Linked DNA regions of Saccharomyces cerevisiae S288C. The gene in region 4 interacts genetically with the main gene of each other region. Each region holds a gene or a part of one and is shown on either strand. Other genes may lie near its edges.

The links.
Region 1: mutations in UTP23 (region 4) and PFF1 together harm fitness more than expected from each alone (negative genetic interaction), as found in Saccharomyces cerevisiae (one large-scale study listed by BioGRID).
Region 2: mutations in UTP23 (region 4) and YML003W together harm fitness less than expected from each alone (positive genetic interaction), as found in Saccharomyces cerevisiae (one large-scale study listed by BioGRID).
Region 3: mutations in UTP23 (region 4) and RPL4B together harm fitness more than expected from each alone (negative genetic interaction), as found in Saccharomyces cerevisiae (one large-scale study listed by BioGRID).

The regions. Positions count from the first base shown.
Region 1 is NC_001134.8:383,151-391,297, forward strand, and holds PFF1 (Pff1p), read left to right. Parts: upstream 1-3,135; coding exon 3,136-6,066; downstream 6,067-8,147. Other genes in the region: DNA-dependent ATPase RDH54, read left to right, coding at 1-2,838; ECM8 (Ecm8p), read left to right, coding at 7,077-8,141. UniProt on the Saccharomyces cerevisiae protein: May be involved in vacuolar sorting and osmoregulation.
Region 2 is NC_001145.3:261,677-265,174, forward strand, and holds YML003W (uncharacterized protein), read left to right. Parts: upstream 1-1,806; coding exon 1,807-2,679; downstream 2,680-3,498. Other genes in the region: lactoylglutathione lyase GLO1, read right to left, coding at 29-1,009; VRL1 (Vrl1p), read left to right, coding at 2,865-3,498.
Region 3 is NC_001136.10:468,540-474,747, forward strand, and holds RPL4B (60S ribosomal protein uL4 RPL4B), read left to right. Parts: upstream 1-3,313; coding exon 3,314-4,402; downstream 4,403-6,208. Other genes in the region: ATP-binding cassette transporter SNQ2, read left to right, coding at 1-1,885; DNA replication protein PSF1, read left to right, coding at 4,618-5,244; RAD61 (Rad61p), read left to right, coding at 5,507-6,208.
Region 4 is NC_001147.6:329,203-334,856, reverse strand, and holds UTP23 (rRNA-binding ribosome biosynthesis protein UTP23), read right to left. Parts: upstream 1,266-5,654; coding exon 501-1,265; downstream 1-500. Other genes in the region: DNA ligase (ATP) DNL4, read left to right, coding at 1-348; putative subtilisin-like protease YSP3, read right to left, coding at 1,966-3,402; ALG6 (dolichyl-P-Glc:Man(9)GlcNAc(2)-PP-dolichol alpha-1,3-glucosyltransferase), read right to left, coding at 3,806-5,440. UniProt on the Saccharomyces cerevisiae protein: Involved in rRNA-processing and ribosome biogenesis.

The DNA.
Region 1 (8,147 bases), on a different chromosome or scaffold from region 4:
ATCCTACAGGAGGTAAAAAACAGCTCGGTATATCAAACGGTATTTGATTCCGGTACTACTCAAATGCAGATACCGAAATATGAGAACAAGCCATTCAAGCCTCCAAGAAGGGTTGGATCAAATAAGTACACACAACTCAAACCAACCGCCACTGCAGTCACAACAGCCCCTATATCTAAAGCCAAAGTTACTGTCAACTTGAAAAGAAGCATTTCGGCGGGACCTACTTTAAATCTTGCCAAGAAGCCGAATAATCTGTCCTCAAATGAAAACACTAGATATTTTACTATCATGTACAGGAAGCCTACTACCAAAAAGCACAAGACTTGGAGTGGTGATGGCTACGCTACCTTAAAAGCCAGTAGCGATAAGTTATGCTTTTATAACGAAGCAGGGAAATTTCTTGGGTCAAGTATGCTACCAAGTGATTCAGATTCTCTCTTCGAAACTCTTTTCAAAGCAGGCTCCAATGAAGTACAATTGGATTACGAATTGAAGGAAAATGCAGAAATACGTAGCGCCAAAGAAGCCTTATCACAAAACATGGGAAATCCCAGCCCACCGACCACAAGCACAACAGAAACAGTGCCTTCTACGAAGAATGACGGTGGCAAATACCAAATGCCTCTGTCTCAGCTGTTTTCACTAAACACTGTGAAAAGATTCAAATCAGTAACAAAGCAAACAAATGAACACATGACCACAGTACCTAAAACCAGTCAAAATTCCAAAGCCAAAAAATATTATCCAGTATTTGATGTCAACAAAATCGATAATCCTATAGTAATGAACAAAAATGCAGCCGCTGAAGTTGACGTAATTGTTGATCCATTACTGGGCAAATTCTTGCGCCCTCATCAGAGGGAAGGGGTGAAGTTCATGTATGATTGCTTAATGGGCTTGGCAAGACCAACTATTGAAAATCCGGATATCGATTGTACTACTAAAAGTTTAGTGTTAGAAAATGACTCAGATATTAGTGGATGCCTTTTGGCTGATGATATGGGTTTAGGTAAAACACTAATGAGTATAACTTTGATTTGGACATTAATTAGGCAAACTCCTTTTGCATCAAAAGTTTCATGTTCGCAATCAGGCATACCATTAACTGGACTTTGTAAGAAGATTTTAGTCGTTTGTCCCGTTACTTTAATAGGAAATTGGAAAAGAGAATTTGGAAAATGGTTAAATTTGTCAAGAATAGGTGTTTTGACATTAAGCTCAAGGAATTCTCCTGATATGGATAAAATGGCTGTCAGAAATTTTTTAAAAGTGCAACGAACTTATCAAGTCTTGATTATTGGCTACGAAAAACTCTTGAGTGTTTCTGAAGAATTAGAGAAAAATAAACATTTGATTGACATGCTGGTGTGTGACGAAGGCCATCGACTAAAAAACGGGGCTTCTAAAATTTTAAATACGCTGAAGAGTTTAGACATAAGAAGGAAGCTTTTGCTTACGGGAACTCCTATACAAAATGATCTTAATGAGTTTTTCACTATTATAGATTTCATAAACCCAGGAATCCTTGGAAGCTTCGCTTCTTTCAAAAGAAGATTCATTATCCCTATAACTAGAGCCAGAGACACTGCAAACAGATACAACGAAGAATTGTTGGAAAAGGGGGAAGAAAGGTCAAAAGAGATGATAGAAATTACGAAAAGATTTATTTTGAGACGAACAAATGCGATTTTAGAAAAGTACCTTCCTCCAAAGACGGATATAATTTTATTCTGTAAACCATACAGCCAACAGATATTGGCATTCAAAGATATTTTGCAGGGCGCACGTTTAGATTTTGGACAATTGACGTTCAGTTCTTCGCTAGGACTAATAACATTACTGAAAAAGGTTTGTAACTCTCCTGGATTGGTTGGCTCAGATCCCTATTACAAATCACATATAAAGGATACCCAATCTCAGGACAGCTATAGTCGTTCTTTGAACTCTGGTAAGTTAAAGGTATTAATGACATTACTAGAAGGTATTAGGAAGGGTACCAAGGAGAAGGTCGTCGTAGTGTCTAACTACACTCAAACATTGGATATAATTGAAAATTTGATGAATATGGCTGGGATGTCACATTGCAGACTCGACGGTTCCATACCTGCTAAACAAAGGGACTCTATCGTCACATCTTTCAATCGGAATCCAGCCATATTTGGATTCTTGTTGAGTGCAAAATCGGGAGGTGTAGGATTGAATCTAGTCGGTGCTTCGCGACTTATTTTATTTGATAATGATTGGAATCCTTCAGTAGATTTGCAAGCGATGTCACGAATTCATAGAGATGGTCAAAAAAAGCCGTGCTTCATATATAGACTTGTCACAACTGGGTGTATCGATGAGAAAATATTGCAAAGGCAATTAATGAAGAACAGTTTGAGCCAAAAATTTCTAGGTGACTCGGAGATGAGAAATAAAGAATCTTCTAATGATGATCTTTTCAATAAAGAGGACTTGAAGGACCTGTTTTCTGTCCATACAGATACCAAGAGTAACACACATGACTTAATTTGTTCTTGCGATGGTTTAGGTGAGGAAATTGAATATCCTGAAACAAATCAACAGCAGAACACCGTAGAGCTGAGAAAGCGTAGCACTACGACATGGACAAGTGCGCTGGATTTACAAAAGAAAATGAATGAAGCAGCCACCAACGATGATGCCAAAAAGTCACAATACATTAGGCAATGTCTCGTTCATTATAAGCATATCGATCCAGCAAGACAAGATGAATTATTTGATGAGGTTATCACAGATTCGTTCACCGAATTGAAAGATAGTATTACCTTTGCGTTTGTAAAGCCCGGCGAGATATGTCTCAGAGAACAATGACGCCAAATATGGACACTTATATACTAAATAAAATAGCTATTATTTAATCACTGATTGTATTTAATAGGTTTATTCTTGCACGACTCATTCAGGTTCAAGTCACATATTAAGTAGGGCCTATTGCTGATTCAAGTTGATATCCACGTTTTCACTAATTTGATAACGATACGCTGCGGGCGCAAATCAAACATCTGAAAGATTTGAATAGCCTTTAGTCCCAAAAAAAAAAAAAAAAAAATAATGTGAAAAATTATCTACAAGGAAATAAATTGATAGGTAAAGTTAAAGAATCACGGCATGAAATTAAAAAGTGTATTCAGATCAGTTCTAAAGTACCGGAAAACAAATTTGAGTTTGCTTCTATTAATCACCTATTCGATTATTACGTTACTCTATATCTTTGATCATGAACGTTATAAACTCAATCTACCAAAAGAGGATGAGCACCCTGAATTCAATGACTTATTAGAAACAGCATGGGGGGACTTACAGATTATCACGGCCTCTTTTCATCCGTACACGTCCAAAGAAAATGATAAAGTACATGATTACTTGCTCAAAAGGGTTCTTGAAATTACAGGGAATTCTTCGTTTGCAAGTGTTTCAGATGACAAAGAAAGCGAGAGATCCATATTATTTCAGCAACAAGATCCTTTCAATGAGTCATCTAGGTTTTCGAGAGTGACATATTTTGAATCTTCTAATATATTAGTTAAGCTTGAGGGTAAAAATCCTGAGGAAGAAGGGTTACTTCTTTCAGCTCATTTCGACTCTGTACCCACAGGATATGGAGCTACCGATGACGGCATGGGTGTAGTGTCTTTACTAGCGAACCTCAAGTACCATATAAAGCACAGACCGAACAGGACTTTAATTTTCAACTTTAATAATAATGAAGAGTTTGGCCTACTAGGTGCATCAACTTATTTTGATCACTCATGGTCTAATTTAACCAAGTATGTGATAAATTTAGAGGGAACTGGTGCTGGTGGTAAAGCTGTACTGTTCCGAACTTCAGATACTTCAACAGCAAGAATATACCAACAGTCTGTTAAGGAAAATCCATTTGGTAACTCTATCTACCAGCAAGGTTTTTATAGCAGATATGTCAGGAGTGAGACAGACTACAAGATTTACGAAGAAAATGGCATGAGAGGCTGGGATGTCGCATTCTACAAACCGAGAAACCTTTATCATACCATAAAGGATTCAATACAATATACCTCCAAGGCATCTTTATGGCATATGCTACATACTTCCTTACAATTAAGTGCATATGTGGCTTCTAATTCATTGGATACAGCTGACCAAACGCCGGCTTGTTATTTTGATTTTATCGGTTTGAAGTTTTTCGTTATAAGCGCTAAAACGCTTTTCTATTGGAACTGCATATTTCTATTAGTTTCACCCGTTGTGGCCATTGGCTTGTATTTAATTTCTCGTGATAGAATGACTTGGAAATCTTATTCATGGCTATCGTGGACACGCTTTCCTCTTTCATTAGCCGCTGGTATTATTGTCCAAAAGCTTTTCTCTAACGACATAATTCGTTCCAATCCTTTGACGTTCTCAAGGAACTACTTTTGGCCTATCTCGGCTTTTTTCACTCAAGTAATTTTTACCAGTTATGTTCTGATTAATTGCTCCAATTTTTTTTTCCCCTGTGCCGATATGAAAAGCCTATCAATTATCGAATTGTTCATTATTTTATGGACCATTTTACTTTTTACGTCGAAGTTATTGTATAGTTCCGACTATAGGTATACCGGGCTTTATCCTCTCTCGATTTTCTTTCTTCTGAGCACAATAGCTGCTATATTGAGACTACTTGCACTAGCGTTGGGAATGAGAACAAGGAAGAGGCTTGGTAGAGAATGTAGGGACCATCACTCCAATTACAGCTCCCATTCTCAAATAGATATGGAACGAGACGGTCAGGAAAACTTGGAACAACCCCAAGATCAACTTACATCGTCACAAGACGATCAAGCAAGTATCCAAGATGATAATGTGTCAACTACTTCAGCTGGCCCATCACATAATGTTGACGAGGATCATGGTATGGATTCATCGTCACAACAACATGATGAAAGGGTACCATTACTGAAGGGGTCTAATAGCATGGAGGAAGGATTGAGTACTAGAGAAAATTCTCTAAAACTTGAGTATACCGATTATGCCTGGATCATTCAATTTTTGCTAATTGTACCAATACCATCATTTATTTTGTTTAACAGTGTGGATGTTATCATGGACGCACTAAACCATACTGTCCAGGAAGGAAGTAAGGCTACATTTGATGTACTCAGGTTCGGAATGGTGGGCAGTATTTTGATCGCGCTACCAATTTTACCTTTTTTCTATAAGGTCAACTATATCACAATTTCTTTAACTGCACTGCTTTTCTTGATTTCCGCATCCAAAACGCTCCTAGTGCACCCCTTTACCAATAGTAACCCATTAAAAGTAAGGTTTTCTCAAAATATTGATTTGTCTCAAGGGAACGCTGCCAGTGTACATGTCCTTGGAAGAGAAGGAAATTTTTTAAAACCTATGCTGCAAGATTTACCAAGTATAAAATATAGCTCTACACATATTAACTGTACTTCCGTAACCAATGGAATGGAACTTTGTATGTATGATGGAATGCAACCTAATTTATTGAGCACGAATGGAAATACGAACATCAGCAGTATGGTCAAGGTTCATGTTTTACATAATAACCGAAACTCAACAGAGAGATCTCCTTACGAACCAATAGTTGCAGAGTTACTTTTGGAGGTGAAGGAGAACAGGGCTTGCACTTTAACTTTTGAAAGTAGACATCAGGCGAAGTCACCTGTCAGAGAAATCACGGTATATCAAAAGAAAAATTCGGCCCCACAGAAAGCTAATATCACGAAGACGATCAAGTCTGCTTCTGGCATAAACGAACTGCAATTGCATAAACTTGATTTCGATCAGGAAACTTACCATATCGGAGTCCAGTGGTTTCCAAAACTTTTGACGGATGGAAATGTAGAGGATGACAAGTTGGGGACAAAAGACGAACTGTCTGTTTCTATTAGCTGTTATTGGGGAGAATATGATTCGGAATCGGTTGTAAATGGTACCGCTGTTAGGAAAATTCCAGCATTTGATGAATTGATAAATTACGCACCTCTAAGTTTTTCCTTTACCAACGAACAGAAAGGATTAGTTATTGTCAAGGATGCTATAATTTTATAATTCTAATTAGTTTTAAATGTAAATTTTTATAAACTCAAATTCGCCTACTGGGGGAGTTGTCCAAAGGCTTCGCTTCTTCCCACAAGAAGAACAAAATAATAAAAAATATTTTGAGAAATTTTTCGTAACAAAAGGAAAAACTATTGAGTTTAACTTATGAATGTACTTTACTGGCCAAGAATCCGTCTGGAACCATTCTACGGTGCTCTCTTCGTAGCGCTAAAGACAGCTATAGTGGATATTCAGACGGTATTGAAAATCACTAATGATATCAGTTAACAAAGTAAGAAACATGTTTCGTCAGATAAGTTCTACACTGCTGCAAGTGCATACAATGCTCGTTTTTATAAAGTCCTAAATTATATAACCCTCCAGTAACTATTAGAAAATAGCACGCAATAATGCTAGCGATATACAAATAACCTGTAAATCTATATATTTATTAAGTATAAAGATAATGGTCTTGGAAATGGTTCTTCAGGGATTGTGATTGACTATAGCCGGATATCGTTTGGATCAAGAGCTTGGTTAAGCGGATATTTAAGTTATTTTAATATATCGCTTTGTCCAAAAGCAAGTTTTGGAGGTGGGATCTCAATTTACACGATACAGTATTAACCAAATCTTGATAGCAAAAAAATGCAAAATATCGTATAAGTGAAGGCAAAGCATTGTCCAATGTAAGGTTCTGTGCCGCCCTTCCCTTTTTTGAAAGCTGCTAGATATCATTGTTACCCTTTTTAATTTCTACGCTATTCTCGGACGTCATAATTTTATAGTTACTGACACTAAAAAAAGGGTCGTACGTCTTACTGGCAGCGCCGAAAAATGTTTCGAAAATACACCTTAACACATTGAAGTAGTGATGATTTCATAAAAAACCACAAGAATTTGTTCGCTAATACATTAATTCGGTACTAGACTTTATTGACTCGTATATTTCTAACGAATAAATCACCCACTCTTGCTATCCTAACAGTATTTAATATTAGCTATTTAAAAGCCTTAAGATGGACTATGGCTACTTTTTTCCCGCACAACGTATTGAAGAAACAAATGGTGTGGATTTTTGGATAGACAGTAATGCTGAATTTACACAGTCTAAAAGACCTGACTCTTCAACATCCACTCTTTCGAGGGTTTTAACGGACACCACGAATGTATCCAATAATAGTGGATCACTCAAAAGAAAAACCATCAAGAACAAAATATTCCCACAAAGGAAAATATTCAACGATAGCGAAAATTTTGACTTTGGTAAAGCCAACACTGATTGTAAGCATGTGTTTAAAAGTATTTCTAAGCAACTGATTTTTCTTCCAAGGTGTTTCCAACATCACAGTATCCGAGGCTGGATGAAAGACAGATACTCCGAATTTGGTTATAAAATAAAAAGAAATCAAAATTGTCCCCCCTCAGCATGTGTACAGGCACTATACAATACTAGTAGATCCAATACCGAAGAGTCAAACCCCAACAGTCTGGATTCTCTGATAATGTATAAATACATGCGATACTCTGAAAAGAAAAAGGAATTGATGTGCAGATTTTGCCAGGGGAATAATTGGATTCTAGCTGAAAACTACCTAAAACATTTATTCTTTGCGCACGGCATTTTGTCTGAATTTAAGCCTCACACTTTATACCATTTCGAGTCTAAGCTGTTAAAAATCCAGGGAAAACTTAATTTCAAAATTCAAGTATTAAAAGAGCCAGAGTTTAGCAAAAAAATTTTGAACTCTCTTACTGTATCCATCATTCCCTCTCCTTTGGCCTACTACACTCAAACGTTGAACGGGGGATTTAGGAGAATCCATGTGAAATGCCCCCACTGCGAAAATTGGATCCGTTTGGGTTGGTGTGAATACGATGAAATCATTAGGGATTCCTTTCAGGATTTCGAGTCTCTAAGAAACCTCAATGCTGATTATAATGGGATGTCGTATATTCAAACACGCAATAGAGAAGACATTGAAGGTATATACGAGAATTATTTTACACACTACATCCAATGCGACTTAGCCACGTTCCGAACGAAATGTTTATATGTCCAAGTTATAACAAAAAGCAATTGATTGTGT
Region 2 (3,498 bases), on a different chromosome or scaffold from region 4:
ATACTAACCTCCTATTCATTTCAACTTTTTAGGCAATCAAACCATGAGGAACGACTTCAATGGAATAACCATCAGGATCCTTCAAAAAGGCAATATTCTTCATTCTGCCTTGGTTAAATTTAGGAGACCATTGGATCTTATCGCCGTATTTCACTTCAATTTCTTTACAAAGGGCGCCAGCGTCATCACAACTTATGCAGATGTGACCATAACCCTGGGGCTCTGAGTTACCGTTATGATAGTGGAAGTTTGGATCATTCTCAGTTCCCCAATTATGAGTTAACTCCAACACACTTTCACATGAAAAAACGCTGTCGGTCTTTGGAACGCCATAACCAAGAAAGTATAACGTAAATTTTGCACTTTCGTGCTCACTAGTTCTTAATAATTTCATGCCCAACACATTCTGGTAGAATTCTAAAGACCGGGTTGGGTTTTTAATACGAATCATGGTATGATTGAACTTGTTACCTACTGAGCCCTTTGGGTATTCCTGACCCTCTCTAGAATATGTGATCAACTCAATCCAGTATCCATCAGGGCCTAAAGCAAACGCAATGTCCTTCTGTCTTCCTTCAGAGAGTCTCTTCTTGAATTTGACACCCTGAGATTCTAGCTCTTCGCAGGTTTTATTGATATCGGATACAGAAAAACAGATGTGCCCAAATCCACGATGAGGTTCCTCATTCCCGTTGTTGATCTTGTAGTCTGGGTTTTTTTCAGTACCCCAATTGTGAGTTAGTTCTAAGACACCGTGTGCGCTAAAAACATCAGGCTCTCCATTCTTATTTTTGGGTATGTCGTCTTTTGGAAAGCTTAAAAAGTACAAGCTAAATTTTGCTTCTTCAAAATCCTTTCTGCTTAATAGCTTCATACCGAAGTGTTCGGTGTAGAACTTAACGGTCCTTGCTGGATCCTTGACTCTTAAACATGTGTGATTAAGCAGAAGGGTTGGATCATTCGAGGCTTTCTCAATCTGAATTGGATAGCGTGTACTATCAGTGGACATTGTTAGTTTGTAGCTGGTGGCGTATCTGGTCTGAAGTGTCAAAAAAAAGGCATGGAAATGTTATTCCGATTTTTTTTCTCCCTATTTATAAACGTCACTAACTAGAAATACGGGATATCAACTACTACGAGAGAGGGACATTCTAGTATCAAAGAAACTTACTATGACGCAGTTTAGGATCCCTGTGGTGACTACGTATCCAGGTCTACTACTCCATCGTAAAGCCCCTTGTTTATTCAGTGTCCAGATCATATGCGGGATGTGTATTTTGTGCTGAGTGGAAAAATAAGATCATATGCTCAAGAATAAAGGGTTAAAGGGTATGGAAATTTCAGTTCTCCCTGGCTCAAGAACATTGTCAGTATTCCTATAACTGAAGCTGAGTGGTACTAATGCACCGAGATGCAAAGTCCGAACCACCCCCACCCCCCTCTTTACCTATTTTTTATATTTTGTGATAAAGGGATAACTCGTCTTGCCTTCACTGCGCTTCGATTCTACTTTAGCTAAACTAAGCGTTACTTTGTTTGAGAATCTCTCAGCCGTTAAATCAACGTACTTGTATACTAAACAGTATATTCACGTGATAACTTTGCCTTACACCTATGATATAGATAAATATATACATATATATGAGTGTGTGTGCATTGCGTCACTAAACTATGTTTAATATGACAGAAGGTTTTCGTTTAATTTTGCCGCTACCCGAAAATTTTGGCAGTTGCAATTTATAACTAAAGGAACCACCTTATTGTAAATTCCTCAACGGAAAAGCTATGGCTTAGCTAGGGTTGACAATGTCAGTTTACCATTTACCAACGCTGTTGAACCCGCTGGTTAATGCTATATTTAACTGTCCCGAACCAGAAAGATCCCCATTGAAAAAGCTTTTCGCTAATTTAAAAACCCGTAGGTTTATCCTCCTAGCACCTCCTTCAGAATACCTTTTGAATTACCACGATGTCAAGAGCAAACTGCCGTTACATGACCTCTGTTATAATGCAGAGTTTATTAACTCTTACATATTGTTAATGACTGAAAACTCTTACATAAATACGAATTCAAGGGACAGTCATTATGAAACGTTAGATGGTAAGACCGTTGTTATTCAATGGAAGAATAATGTGATCCATGCCTTAAATGGATTTCATATAAGGCGAAGACTAAAGATTCTAGAGACAAAAATATTACCCAATTTTAATGACTACTTTGAAGGGGCGGCTGATTTTATCATACTATTCATAGATCAACCTTTAAATTGCGAATTTGTACCTAACGACTACTTACAGTGTTTTCACAATTATGAGAAAATACCAAAAAATGCACATGCTATGCCAAATCTGTCGATAGATTCTTTTCAGCAAGAAAGATCGTCATTCGAGAATATATTGCACATTCATCCTGCTCGATTAACACAGCTTGGCCAATTGTTTTCGAGTTACAGAACGCTCGCTCCTGGTGATGATCCATCTAGAAGTATTTTTGAAAGCATCGTGCAACAAGCATTTGATGGAATGAAATCGGATTCACTTTTCAAGAACTTTTCTAATCTTTACGATCTTATACACGACTATTTTGAACTAAATCTTTACGATGATATATGGTCTAGGCTTACTACACATTTCAAAGGCCACGAAGTAGACACTGAAAAAATAAATATTTTTCAGTGAACCAGTTGTTGACAGATTTTTACTCAAAAGATTATGGGGAATTTAAATTACACGACATCACTCTTATTGAAAGGCGTCTCCATCTAGCGTCCAAACATCTTCAAAAGTTGGCTTTGACCCATTCATACGCTGAAAAATCTAAAATATTAGTTGAAACTCTACAGAAATTATCAGGTACTACCGAAATGGATTCACATCAACTAGAACTACCAGACGGATTGAATAACATGACGATGGATGCAGACACTTTAATTAGCCTTTTTGTGCTCGTTGTTTGCAGAAGTGAACAAAAGCACCTTAAAAGTCATCTTTACTATTTGCAAAATTTTTCGAATAACTCTTCTTCTACAAAATTCGGCATTCTAGGGTATGCTGTATCCACACTGGAAGCAGTGGTTTGTTATTTCGAAGACTTCAACAAAAATACAGGCAACGTGGCGAAAGCTAACACATTATGTGAAAAAACTAAGAATTTATTAGATAAGTTGTCATGTGAAAACCCCACAAATGAAGTAGAAGATCTGGCAACATACAAGGATATTTTGACCTACAGAAATGAGCAAGGACAATCCATTCTATCCATATGTATAACAAATCATAAAAACTACATCTTATTAGATATTCTTTCTGAATATGAAAACGACTTTCCAGTAGAAGACCTTTTAGAGGACGAAACGATTGATGGTTCTACGCTGCTTATAGAATCGATAAAAGCAGGAAATTTAGAAGCCGCGAAAGTTCTCATAAAGATCATGCTGTTCAATTGTACTGAAGAGGAGCTGGTTTCTTATATCAATAAAACAGATAAATATGCACGTA
Region 3 (6,208 bases), on a different chromosome or scaffold from region 4:
TGTTTCAGGTTATTGTATTCCAGGTACCATGACGGCCTTGATGGGAGAGTCAGGTGCTGGTAAAACAACTTTGTTAAATACTCTTGCTCAAAGAAATGTCGGTATCATTACTGGTGATATGCTTGTCAATGGACGTCCCATTGATGCGAGTTTCGAAAGGCGTACAGGTTATGTACAACAACAGGATATACATATCGCAGAGTTAACTGTTAGGGAATCGTTGCAGTTTTCTGCTCGTATGCGTCGCCCTCAGCATTTGCCTGATTCTGAAAAAATGGATTATGTGGAAAAAATCATCAGAGTTTTGGGAATGGAAGAGTATGCGGAAGCCCTTGTTGGTGAGGTTGGTTGTGGTTTAAACGTTGAACAGAGAAAGAAGCTGTCTATTGGTGTTGAACTAGTCGCCAAACCAGACTTATTATTATTCCTCGATGAACCTACATCAGGTTTGGATTCTCAATCTTCATGGGCCATTATTCAATTATTAAGAAAGTTATCAAAAGCTGGCCAATCCATTCTTTGTACGATCCATCAACCTTCAGCTACTCTGTTCGAAGAGTTTGATAGATTACTACTTTTGAGGAAGGGTGGACAAACTGTTTATTTCGGAGATATTGGTAAGAACTCTGCCACCATTTTGAACTACTTTGAAAGGAATGGGGCAAGAAAATGTGATTCTAGTGAAAATCCTGCTGAATATATTTTAGAGGCTATTGGTGCCGGTGCCACAGCATCCGTCAAAGAAGACTGGCACGAAAAATGGTTGAACTCTGTCGAGTTTGAACAAACAAAAGAAAAAGTACAGGATTTAATAAATGATTTATCGAAACAAGAAACTAAATCCGAAGTTGGAGACAAACCTTCCAAATATGCTACTTCTTATGCTTACCAGTTCAGATATGTTTTAATCAGAACCTCTACTTCATTTTGGAGAAGTCTGAATTACATCATGTCAAAGATGATGCTAATGCTGGTTGGTGGTCTGTATATTGGTTTCACATTTTTCAATGTTGGTAAAAGTTATGTCGGCTTACAAAATGCGATGTTCGCGGCATTTATCTCTATTATCTTGTCTGCTCCTGCAATGAACCAAATCCAAGGACGTGCTATTGCCTCCAGAGAACTTTTTGAAGTTAGGGAATCCCAATCTAACATGTTTCACTGGTCGCTGGTGTTGATCACTCAGTACTTGAGCGAACTTCCCTATCATTTATTTTTTTCGACAATTTTCTTTGTCTCATCGTATTTTCCATTAAGAATCTTCTTCGAAGCGTCAAGATCTGCGGTGTACTTTTTGAATTACTGCATTATGTTCCAGTTATACTATGTTGGTCTTGGCTTAATGATCCTATATATGTCACCGAACCTTCCATCCGCTAATGTTATCTTAGGTTTGTGTCTGTCATTTATGCTTTCTTTCTGTGGTGTTACACAACCTGTCTCATTGATGCCTGGCTTCTGGACATTCATGTGGAAGGCTTCCCCATACACATATTTTGTTCAGAATCTGGTCGGAATTATGCTGCACAAAAAACCAGTCGTATGCAAAAAGAAAGAACTAAACTACTTCAACCCACCAAACGGCTCAACGTGTGGAGAGTACATGAAACCCTTTTTGGAAAAAGCTACTGGTTACATCGAAAATCCTGATGCTACGTCAGATTGTGCATACTGTATTTACGAAGTTGGAGATAATTATTTGACACATATCAGCTCTAAGTATAGCTACTTGTGGAGAAATTTTGGAATATTTTGGATTTACATTTTCTTCAATATCATTGCTATGGTTTGTGTGTATTACCTCTTCCATGTAAGACAATCTTCCTTCCTAAGCCCCGTATCTATACTCAATAAAATTAAAAACATAAGGAAAAAGAAGCAGTAATGTGGGCTTCAGATAACTTAACATTTTGTGCATTCATCTGCCTTTAATTCTTAATTCTCATTTTACACTATAGAAGAAGACACGAGTACATCTCGTTTCACTTTTATACTGACATTCATATAATTAACAATAAGTATAGTTTATAATAGATACAAAAAAAAAGTCTTGTATTACCATGTTAATAGTTACATTGTGTATAACTCTCGTAGTTTTCAAAAGTCAAGTCTTGTTGAGTAAAAAAGTTTATTTTACCCTTGGGTTTCGACTCAAAATATTGGATTACGATCTAAGCAAGGTGTTGCAAGTACAAGCTAAACGAAAAGAATAAGACAAAAAAACTGAGGCTCCTCAAACTGGTCACCAAAATTGAACTTCAAATTTAGTGTTTCTACATTTTTTCTATTTTGTTTCATTTTTATATCCCTTTCATATGATTAACAAAACTTGGTAAATTATCTGGCCTGTCAACCCTTACCTGTCCTGTCCCTTCTTTAGACAAAAGAAAATAAAAAAATTGGACACAGGAAAACAACAGCCTCCATACCACAGTTTCTGTGTCTTATTCTATTTAGGAAGGTCATTCTATATTACTCAAAGGAAAGACATCCAGTAGAAACAATAGTGTTGCTAAACGGTTAACTTGCCCACTAATGTCTGCTTATATTTGCAAATCACTATTGTGGCAAGTCATACCCTGGAGCTTTGTGATTGAACAACATATACTATATTGCAGCAGTATTTTTCAGAAATAATATTCGAAAGAAGTGAGAACAAGAAATGACCACGATAGATTACAGCTGACCAACTTAGAAAATGAGTAAACTTATTTTTGTCTTAAGAAGTGCATGCAGCGACCTCTCCCAATTACCAAATTGTAATTTTTTATTATTCTTTTTTTCTGCATAGTTCATTCGACAGCTTGGTTGAAAAGAGTGATAAAAATTTTCTGTTTTATGAAAAGTTTTCATAACTCTATTAAGGGTTGCACTATAAGAACATTTCGCAATAAAGCAACCCTTATCCGGACCCTACATGTTCCGTAAGTCCTGCCTTATTTATCGTAACGGTATTCATCTTACAGGAATTTTTGAATATAGATAACGTTAGTTTTGATAGATTGGAACAAATGGGAAAATAACAATTTAGAAGCGCTTTCCTCAGCGTATCTGAATTATAAAACAACTGCGCATATTGCTAAGAACTGCACTGAAGGCATGAATTGTCTATTCCGTTAGAAATATAATTATTTACGAAAGCATCGCGCAGACGCAATTTTTTTAACATTTTTTTTTTTTCAAGTACTCTGGAAAAGTTTTCATGAAGATCATGAATACGTTACACTACTATTATTATTGAAAATAATATTTCTTTCCTATCAGCAATCGCTTACATATTCATAGTCATTTACTAGGGTATATACCAATAATAATGTCCCGTCCACAAGTTACTGTTCACTCTTTGACTGGTGAAGCTACTGCCAATGCCTTGCCATTGCCAGCTGTCTTCTCCGCTCCTATCCGTCCTGACATTGTCCACACTGTTTTCACCTCTGTGAACAAGAACAAGAGACAAGCTTACGCTGTTTCTGAAAAGGCTGGTCACCAAACCTCCGCTGAATCCTGGGGTACCGGTCGTGCCGTCGCTCGTATTCCAAGAGTTGGTGGTGGTGGTACCGGTAGATCCGGTCAAGGTGCCTTCGGTAACATGTGTCGTGGTGGTCGTATGTTTGCTCCAACTAAGACCTGGAGAAAGTGGAACGTTAAGGTTAACCACAACGAAAAGCGTTACGCCACTGCTTCTGCTATTGCTGCTACTGCTGTTGCTTCTTTGGTCTTGGCCAGAGGTCACAGAGTCGAAAAGATTCCAGAAATCCCATTGGTTGTCTCCACTGACTTGGAATCTATTCAAAAGACCAAGGAAGCTGTTGCTGCTTTGAAGGCTGTTGGTGCTCACTCCGACTTGTTGAAGGTCTTGAAGTCCAAGAAATTGAGAGCCGGTAAGGGTAAGTACAGAAACAGAAGATGGACTCAAAGAAGAGGTCCATTAGTTGTCTACGCTGAAGACAACGGTATCGTCAAGGCCTTGAGAAACGTTCCAGGTGTTGAAACTGCCAACGTTGCTTCTTTGAACTTGTTGCAATTGGCTCCAGGTGCTCACTTGGGTAGATTCGTTATCTGGACCGAAGCTGCTTTCACCAAGTTGGACCAAGTCTGGGGTTCCGAAACCGTTGCCTCCTCCAAGGTCGGTTACACTTTGCCATCCCACATCATCTCCACTTCTGATGTCACCAGAATTATCAACTCTTCTGAAATCCAATCTGCTATCAGACCAGCTGGCCAAGCTACTCAAAAGCGTACTCACGTTTTGAAGAAGAACCCATTGAAGAACAAGCAAGTTTTGTTGAGATTGAACCCTTACGCCAAGGTCTTTGCTGCTGAAAAGCTAGGTTCCAAGAAGGCTGAAAAGACTGGTACCAAGCCAGCTGCTGTTTTCGCCGAAACCTTGAAGCATGACTAGAATTTATAGTATAGATCTTTAACTTTAATTTAAATATCTTTGTTACTAGTCTTTAATCAAACCTTTTTGTTTTCTTTAAAGTCGAAACGTCAGATTTGCTCAAAACCTTCTTGTCGTTACAACGCGAAAATTGTAATTTAAAATAACTAACGAAGAAAGCTGAAAAATAGATGTGAGGGAAAATCGTTTATAAACGGCCATGCTCACAGAGAATCATGTATGGAGATTTAGGTAATAAATTAGTATTAGAAGCTAAAAGAACAAAACAGCTGTACGCAAGAAGTAATCAAGATGTTAATTTACCCATGTATCATGAAGATATAATACGAAATATTCTGAAAGAAGTTTCAAATTTACGTAAAAATACGGAATATCTTAAAGAACAGCAGCAACTAGGAATGCTAGATGATAAGGTGGCTAAATGCCAGTATTTCGTTACCTTGTTATGTATGGAAAGGAACAAGAGATGTCTCTTAGCATACCAAAGGTTGAGAACAGACATACTAGATTCTATGGCTTGGAATAATAATGGTCTGGACTTGATGAGTAGCATTACGTTTAGCCAACAAGACACAAATAACCTTTCTCATCAAGAGCAGGAATATTTGAAAGAATACTGCGATTTAATTACTGATTTAAAAAGTGGTGACTTGGTCGATATTGATTTATCCGGCTCTTTAGTGCCTCCGAGCGATGTATTTATTGATGTTAGAGTGCTCAAAGATGCTGGTGAGATTCAAACTGAATACGGCGTGTTTAACCTTATTAAAGACTCCCAGTTTTTCGTAAGGCAGTCTGATGTAGAGCGTTTGATTCAACAAGGTTATTTGCAGAAGATATGATAAAATGCTTTCAAGCTGGTCTTCATGATATATAATCCTTTATAAAGCAAGATACATACCTCCATTCTAATTTACTCCCTTCTATGTTTACTTCAGCCCTTTTTAATAGATTTCGTAAGTTTTGGTTGAGGAGGCTTTCTGAGCTTTACGCGACTTTATTGATGACGAAGCTTCACTTTATTATAATAATGAAAAACTGCGCAGAGAAACTATCGCAAAACGAAACCATCTTCTTACCCTAAAGCATCCTGTTTCTGAAAAAATGAGAGCATATGGAAAGAGGGGCCCAGTTCTCAGAACTCCTTTTAGATCTAATAAAGGCTTGCCATCTTCTTCCGATGTTGAATTTAGTGATGACGATGTAAACTCCGTGATTCCTGATGTAAGTTCTACCATTTCGAGCAGTATTGCAGACCACCCGATAGAGGGATTATTGGACGAGCCTAGAAAGGCTCAGGACAGCTCGTCGTCATTTGATGGTGCAAATGAGAAGCCCTCTTCACAACTGGACTCAAAAAGGAATGACCAAAACGTCAAAATTATCACTAGCAGTGATACCTCAATGGCATTTATGAAAGATGAAAAGTTAAGTGCCTTTAATTTCCTTGATGGTTCAAAGGCATCTAAGAGAAAAAGAAGAAGAACTTACCAAAAGCATGATGCGAACATAACGTCTTCAATTGAACCAGACGTACAAGATGAAGACAGCATTACAATGCACAATGAATTTGAATCAATAAGGAAAATATACAATGACATCAATGAATTCATATTGAAGCTACCGAGAGCTGACGATGATATACTGAATAAAATGCTTGAAAATGAGATGAAGATGGACGACTCTATAGAGAATAATAGCATACGCACATCCAAAGACAAAAAATATGGCAAATTTAGAACAATATTAATAAACAAAAATAAAGAAAATGAAATAATGGGAGAAGAGGTAGATCAGAAAGCTAAC
Region 4 (5,654 bases):
GATTCTGAGGTTCGGCGGTTTCCATTATTTTTATTCTCCAACAGGATTGCATACGTACCACGTCGCAAAATTAGCACAGAAGATGACATTATAGAAATGAAAATTAAGTTGTTTGGTGGAAAAATAACAGATCAACAGTCACTTTGTAACTTAATAATTATACCATATACTGATCCTATTTTGAGGAAAGACTGCATGAATGAGGTACACGAAAAAATAAAAGAACAAATAAAGGCTTCTGATACTATACCGAAAATAGCCAGGGTCGTTGCCCCTGAATGGGTGGATCATTCTATTAATGAAAACTGTCAAGTGCCTGAAGAAGACTTCCCCGTAGTCAACTACTGATGGTGCGTTTTGCGGAGGCTTAATTTTTTGAAGTTTATTTAATACTATCCTACATATGTACATTAAATACTTCCGTAACGTTTATCAATAAGAGTGGAAGATGCGCAATTATATTCAAAAGATTGGCCAGTCAATTAACTTAAGGAAAAAATTTACTGCGCGGCTGTGGTCCCATTTGAAACGGGGACGTTAGTGTTGCTTTTGTGTTTCCTTCTTCTTCTTTTTTTCTTTTCTTTAGAAGTATCTTCTTTGTCTTTCACCTCATCGCTGGGCGAGTTGACTTTCTTCTTCTTCTTTACGCTCAAAGGATTAGGAGCCTTTGGACCAAGCTTTCTTTTCTTAGTGATAGATTCCTTTCCTGATCCATCACCACTTTCTTGAAGTTTTTCAATATTAGGATCATTGAGACCCTTATACAATTTTTGTTCTTCAGTAATCTTGCTTGCCTTGGCACTCGCCGTACTGAGAGGTTCCATAACCATAACAGACCTGGTTAAATGGATTAATGGAACACCCGGAACCGTCCTCAGCTTCCTCCTCAAATCTATGTCCTGAGAAGCAACCACATACCTGTGTTTATTTGCACCGCTAATATTAACGACGCTTTCGATGCACTCCGCAGGTGACTTTGGATCTTTAAAAGAGTGGTTACAACGACGTCTCTCAAATTGTTTCGCTAAATTAATTGCACCATCATTTCTAGTTTCATATAACGCTTGTATGCAACACTGTGTGATCATGACCTTTACGTCTGCTTGCAACGTTCTTTTCAACCCACTCGGTAGATTAAAATTAGAATTATTACATTCTAAAACAAGCTGATTATCAACCAAAACTTGATATGGCTCACGGAACTTAAATGTGTGACTGTAAACAAGAAGTTGTTTCCTATATGACTTAGCCCTCTTTTGACGCATGTTAGGTATATCGGGAGCGCTTACAATAGTTGGTTTTTATTATTGGATTGCTTCCCTTCTTGCTCATCACGATAATTATACTATTGTTTAATTGACATCTTGAAAATTTTTCTTCCCGAAGATCATCGCATCGCACCGCATGTATATTTTTTTTTTTTTCCTTAGTAAATGATAGAAATAATCAAAACAAGAAGATGCCTCTCATACATAGAATACATTATCGAGCCGAGATCACAATTGTAGACATTCAGTTGTAACTTGTACCTATGATCTGAGGTAGTTTTTAAAAGGAAAAACACTGCATTGCTCGGTTGCTTTGGACGGTGACAGAGGAAGATAAAAATAGTTTCACACCCTTTAAAAGATTTCAATGATTCTGACGGTAAACCCTTTTATCTGTTGAAGGATAGTTTTGAAACCTATTTAAAGTGGTTGTCGTATTTTATTTACCTCCTTAACCCTTATCTAGCAGTGACTAGTATAAATTCGTAAAAAAACTATTCACAACCAAAAGAACTGCATCGCGAACAAAAGTTTATCTTTACTACTAATTTATTATGTATATTATTGAAAGAATTTAACCTACTCGTAGGAACAAAAAGCCGATTAGCGATTTCAAACGTCTTTCTTAGGCTTATGCTGACCTGTATGAAAAGAATAAAATAAAATCTCCTGGGTGCTCCTAAATTCAAAATCAAAGCTACCAAAAACCATCCAATTTCTTACCTCCCCCATTATATATTAATTTGTTAGGAGTATCATCACCGATATCACCCAGTACTCCCTGTGTACTAAATTTTAGGACTTTTTCTTTCAATTCTTGAGGTGAGGGAGCGTCGTTGAAAAATTCACTGTCTGGTGCAGGCTGTAATGATAAAAAGTAACTTAAAATACCAGCAACGTGCGGGGACGCCATGGAAGTACCTGATAAACTTAAAGTTGCATTCCTTGAACCAATATAGGTGGACATAATATTTATACCGGGAGCAAACACATCAACACATGTGCCCCAGTTCGAAAAGAATGCTCTATCATCACTAAATGTCGAAGCACCGACCGTAATACTTTTTTCAGCTCCTGCTGGTGAACTGAGACAAGCATCTTCATCCTCATTTCCTGCCGCAATAGCAAAATGGACACCGCTATCTACAGCTGCATTTACAGCCATTTCCATAGCTAGCGATTTGCTACTTCCCAAAGAAAGATTGGCAGTCGATCCTTTGAATTCTTTATTCTTTTTCTTCGACGATTCTATATGCTCCTTAGTAACATACTCTATACCTTTAATAACATCTGAAACCGTCCCTTCCCCATTAGAACGAAGAACTTTGACAGCTACTATTTTTGTATTTTTGGCTACACCAAAGTGCTTCGATCCGATAATCCCCGCACAGTGAGTTCCATGACCATTCAAATCAGAAGCTTCATCGTTTGCTGGTATAACGGCTCCCCACTCAGCACGCCCTTCAAAGTCCTCGTGCTCGGTATCAATTCCTGTGTCGAGTACATATGATGTGACACCTTTTCCGGCGGCATCTTCATATAAATATTCCAAATCTTGTCCATATTTTGGTTTCTCCCTGTGCGAAACTCTATGTAAACCCCAAGGCGCTTCTTCCTGCAATGACGAATTAGATATTTTTACTGTAGTTTCTTGCTCTACGAACTTTATGATTGGGTCCTGGGAGATTATTTTAATGATTTCATCAGTGAAATAGCCAGTATAACCTCGAAATAGACCATTTATGTCAAAAAAATTATCAATACCTCCAAATTGAGATTTAGATGATACTGAAGAAGAAATTACCCTCCAAAAAGCGTCATTTTCTGTAAGCTTACCTACTGAGGTACTATGATCCTTCTGTACCACTTGCATATGCGATTGAATCTGCTGGAGGGAAATATCTTCATTAAAGACTATGACATACCGATAAGGAAGAAACTCTGTTTTATGAGCGACATGTTGATGTTCAGTGTGAAAATTTCCAGGATCATGCTGTCCCAAACCTTCTCCTGCTCTTACACTGCGAGTACCATCAATATTCTCAATAAAACGAACTATCCCGTCGAAATCAGGGATGATCATACAAAGACAGCAATTTGCCCAAAGTATAGGTAAGATGGTAGAGAATTTCATGTTTAAAGATATAAAGTGGTTGAACAGATTGGAAACCTGAACTTACAATATAGCAACTTGATAAGTTACGTGTTATAAGGACTCAGTCAAAAAAAACTCTTATCTAATAATATATATATGAGTGCCTGTTATCAGTAGCCGCCCTTCCGAGATTCGAGATTCGCCATTGCTCGGAAGACGCGAACGGTGGCTACTCCAGGAGAGAAAATAAGCGGAAAAGCTAACAATACTCACTGCCAAATGTAGTAGTTTTGCCTTACCATTATCTGTACCTTATTTAGATCAAATTATAGTGCATTTTTCAAATATTTTTAAGAGTTGAAATAATCTTTACTTGTAGAGCACATCTTTTATATCAGTTGCGTCTGACTGACATTGTACAGTTATATAAGTTAAAATGTAACTACAAGTCCTTCATGGATTTGCTACCGGAAGTGAATATCTTGTAATAAGACCATAGCCAAAATATGCTAAAGCAAATGAACCCAACAGCACAGTTCAACAACACCCACAAGTCTGGATATTTCGATGGAGGTGCTACAAATTGATCTAAGAAATGATAAAAGCCCATAGCAATATACGTTCCTATGATAAAACTTTTCCAAACCACATTATATGGCAGTAAGCTTCTTCTTCTATAGTCGCTATTGATGCTGCTGATAGAAGGGCCAGGAGTTAAAGATTTTGGCAAGAACCTTGGTGTAATAAAACTGAAATTTCCAATCAGCCAATTGCTTAGTAAGAAAGATACGGCATACTGTAAATGAAGACCGTCCTTTTTCAACAAAGGCCATAGCGTAAACAAAGCCACATTGTTTATCCAACTTACAAGAGATAGAACATTCCAATCAGTAGAGGAGTAGAGTAGTGTAATAGGCAAAAGTGGGATGAGGATAGTTTTCTCATGTACTTGAAAGCTAAAAAGAAAAAAGGACATCGAACATGCGATTAACACGTATGGGAGAAGATGCTTTTTGGGATGAAGTAATGTCATTATCATGGCTGGTAAGAAACCAATCACGGTGGCAATCAATGAATATAGCTGGAGTTGTTGTATAGTGAATCTTTCCTTGTATTTTACAAACACGTTCGTAACGCACCAGAAGTTAGCAACCTTGTCTTCGAAGATGCCCCTGGCAAAAGGGAATATCCTGTGAATACATTGGTGAATATTCTTTAATCCTCCTCCCAAGAAATATAATGGCGCAAATATTATAGCAAAAGTTGCGAGTGTTGCAAACGCAATAACCGTCAATCTAGCTATGTTAAATTTGGGGAACAGCAATGATCGACTTAATAGATAAGCAAAAAAAATCGGTGCATAATACAATGCCATTTGTTTAAAACAAATGGATAGGACAAAACAAACGGCCGCCATAGCATAATACTCATCTAATAAGTTATTTATGGCATAAGCAGTAAGGCCAAGCATGACTGAATTATATTGAAAGTGCCCATGGTCAATGAGCATTAATGAAGGTTGGAACAAAATCGCTGATGCCGCAATAGATTGTCCTATGGGCGACTGGTTTCGATATCTACCAAGCCACTTAGTAAAGTATATTACTGCAGGAAAGTAAAACAATATGTCGCTAATGATGACAGTAGAACGCATATATGTTTTCAGGCCATTATCGGGGGATTCAAAGCCACGTGACTTTTCTAGTGCAAACCAAGATGGATTGAAAAAAGATCCAATTAGGCCCAGAAGGTACGAATGAAATGCTGTTAATGGTGGATAGTCCAATCCCCAGTATTGCAAATCATACCAGTACCACTTAGAAAGCGGTAAATGTTGCGTAATTTCCATCCAATGTCTCTGAGCCTCAAAATCGCCGTACAGCGGTGGACTGCCTTTCCCAGAATATGGACCAAGTCCAATTGTGCACCTCAGTATTACAGCACATACAAAGATAATATATTCTGGCAGCCATTGGTTCCCCACTGGCCTAAACGGATACAAAAAATCATACATTGGAGAAGCATAAAATGATTCTTCTGCTGGTTTGTTCACCAGTAACCTTTTGCCAATGGCCATTTTCTATGCGAAGCCTGATGTGAAGAAAAGAATTCCTGACACCGTCCATTCGGAGTGCCATTGCTTTAACATGAGCAAATCCCTTTTCTAACTTGGAAGTATTGTTCTCGCTGAGTATTTAACACGCACAATATTCGAGCGAAGTATAATCCTGCAAAAATTCAACTATAGATTTCCGGATAACCTCCGACGTTGAAATTATATAAAACTTGTA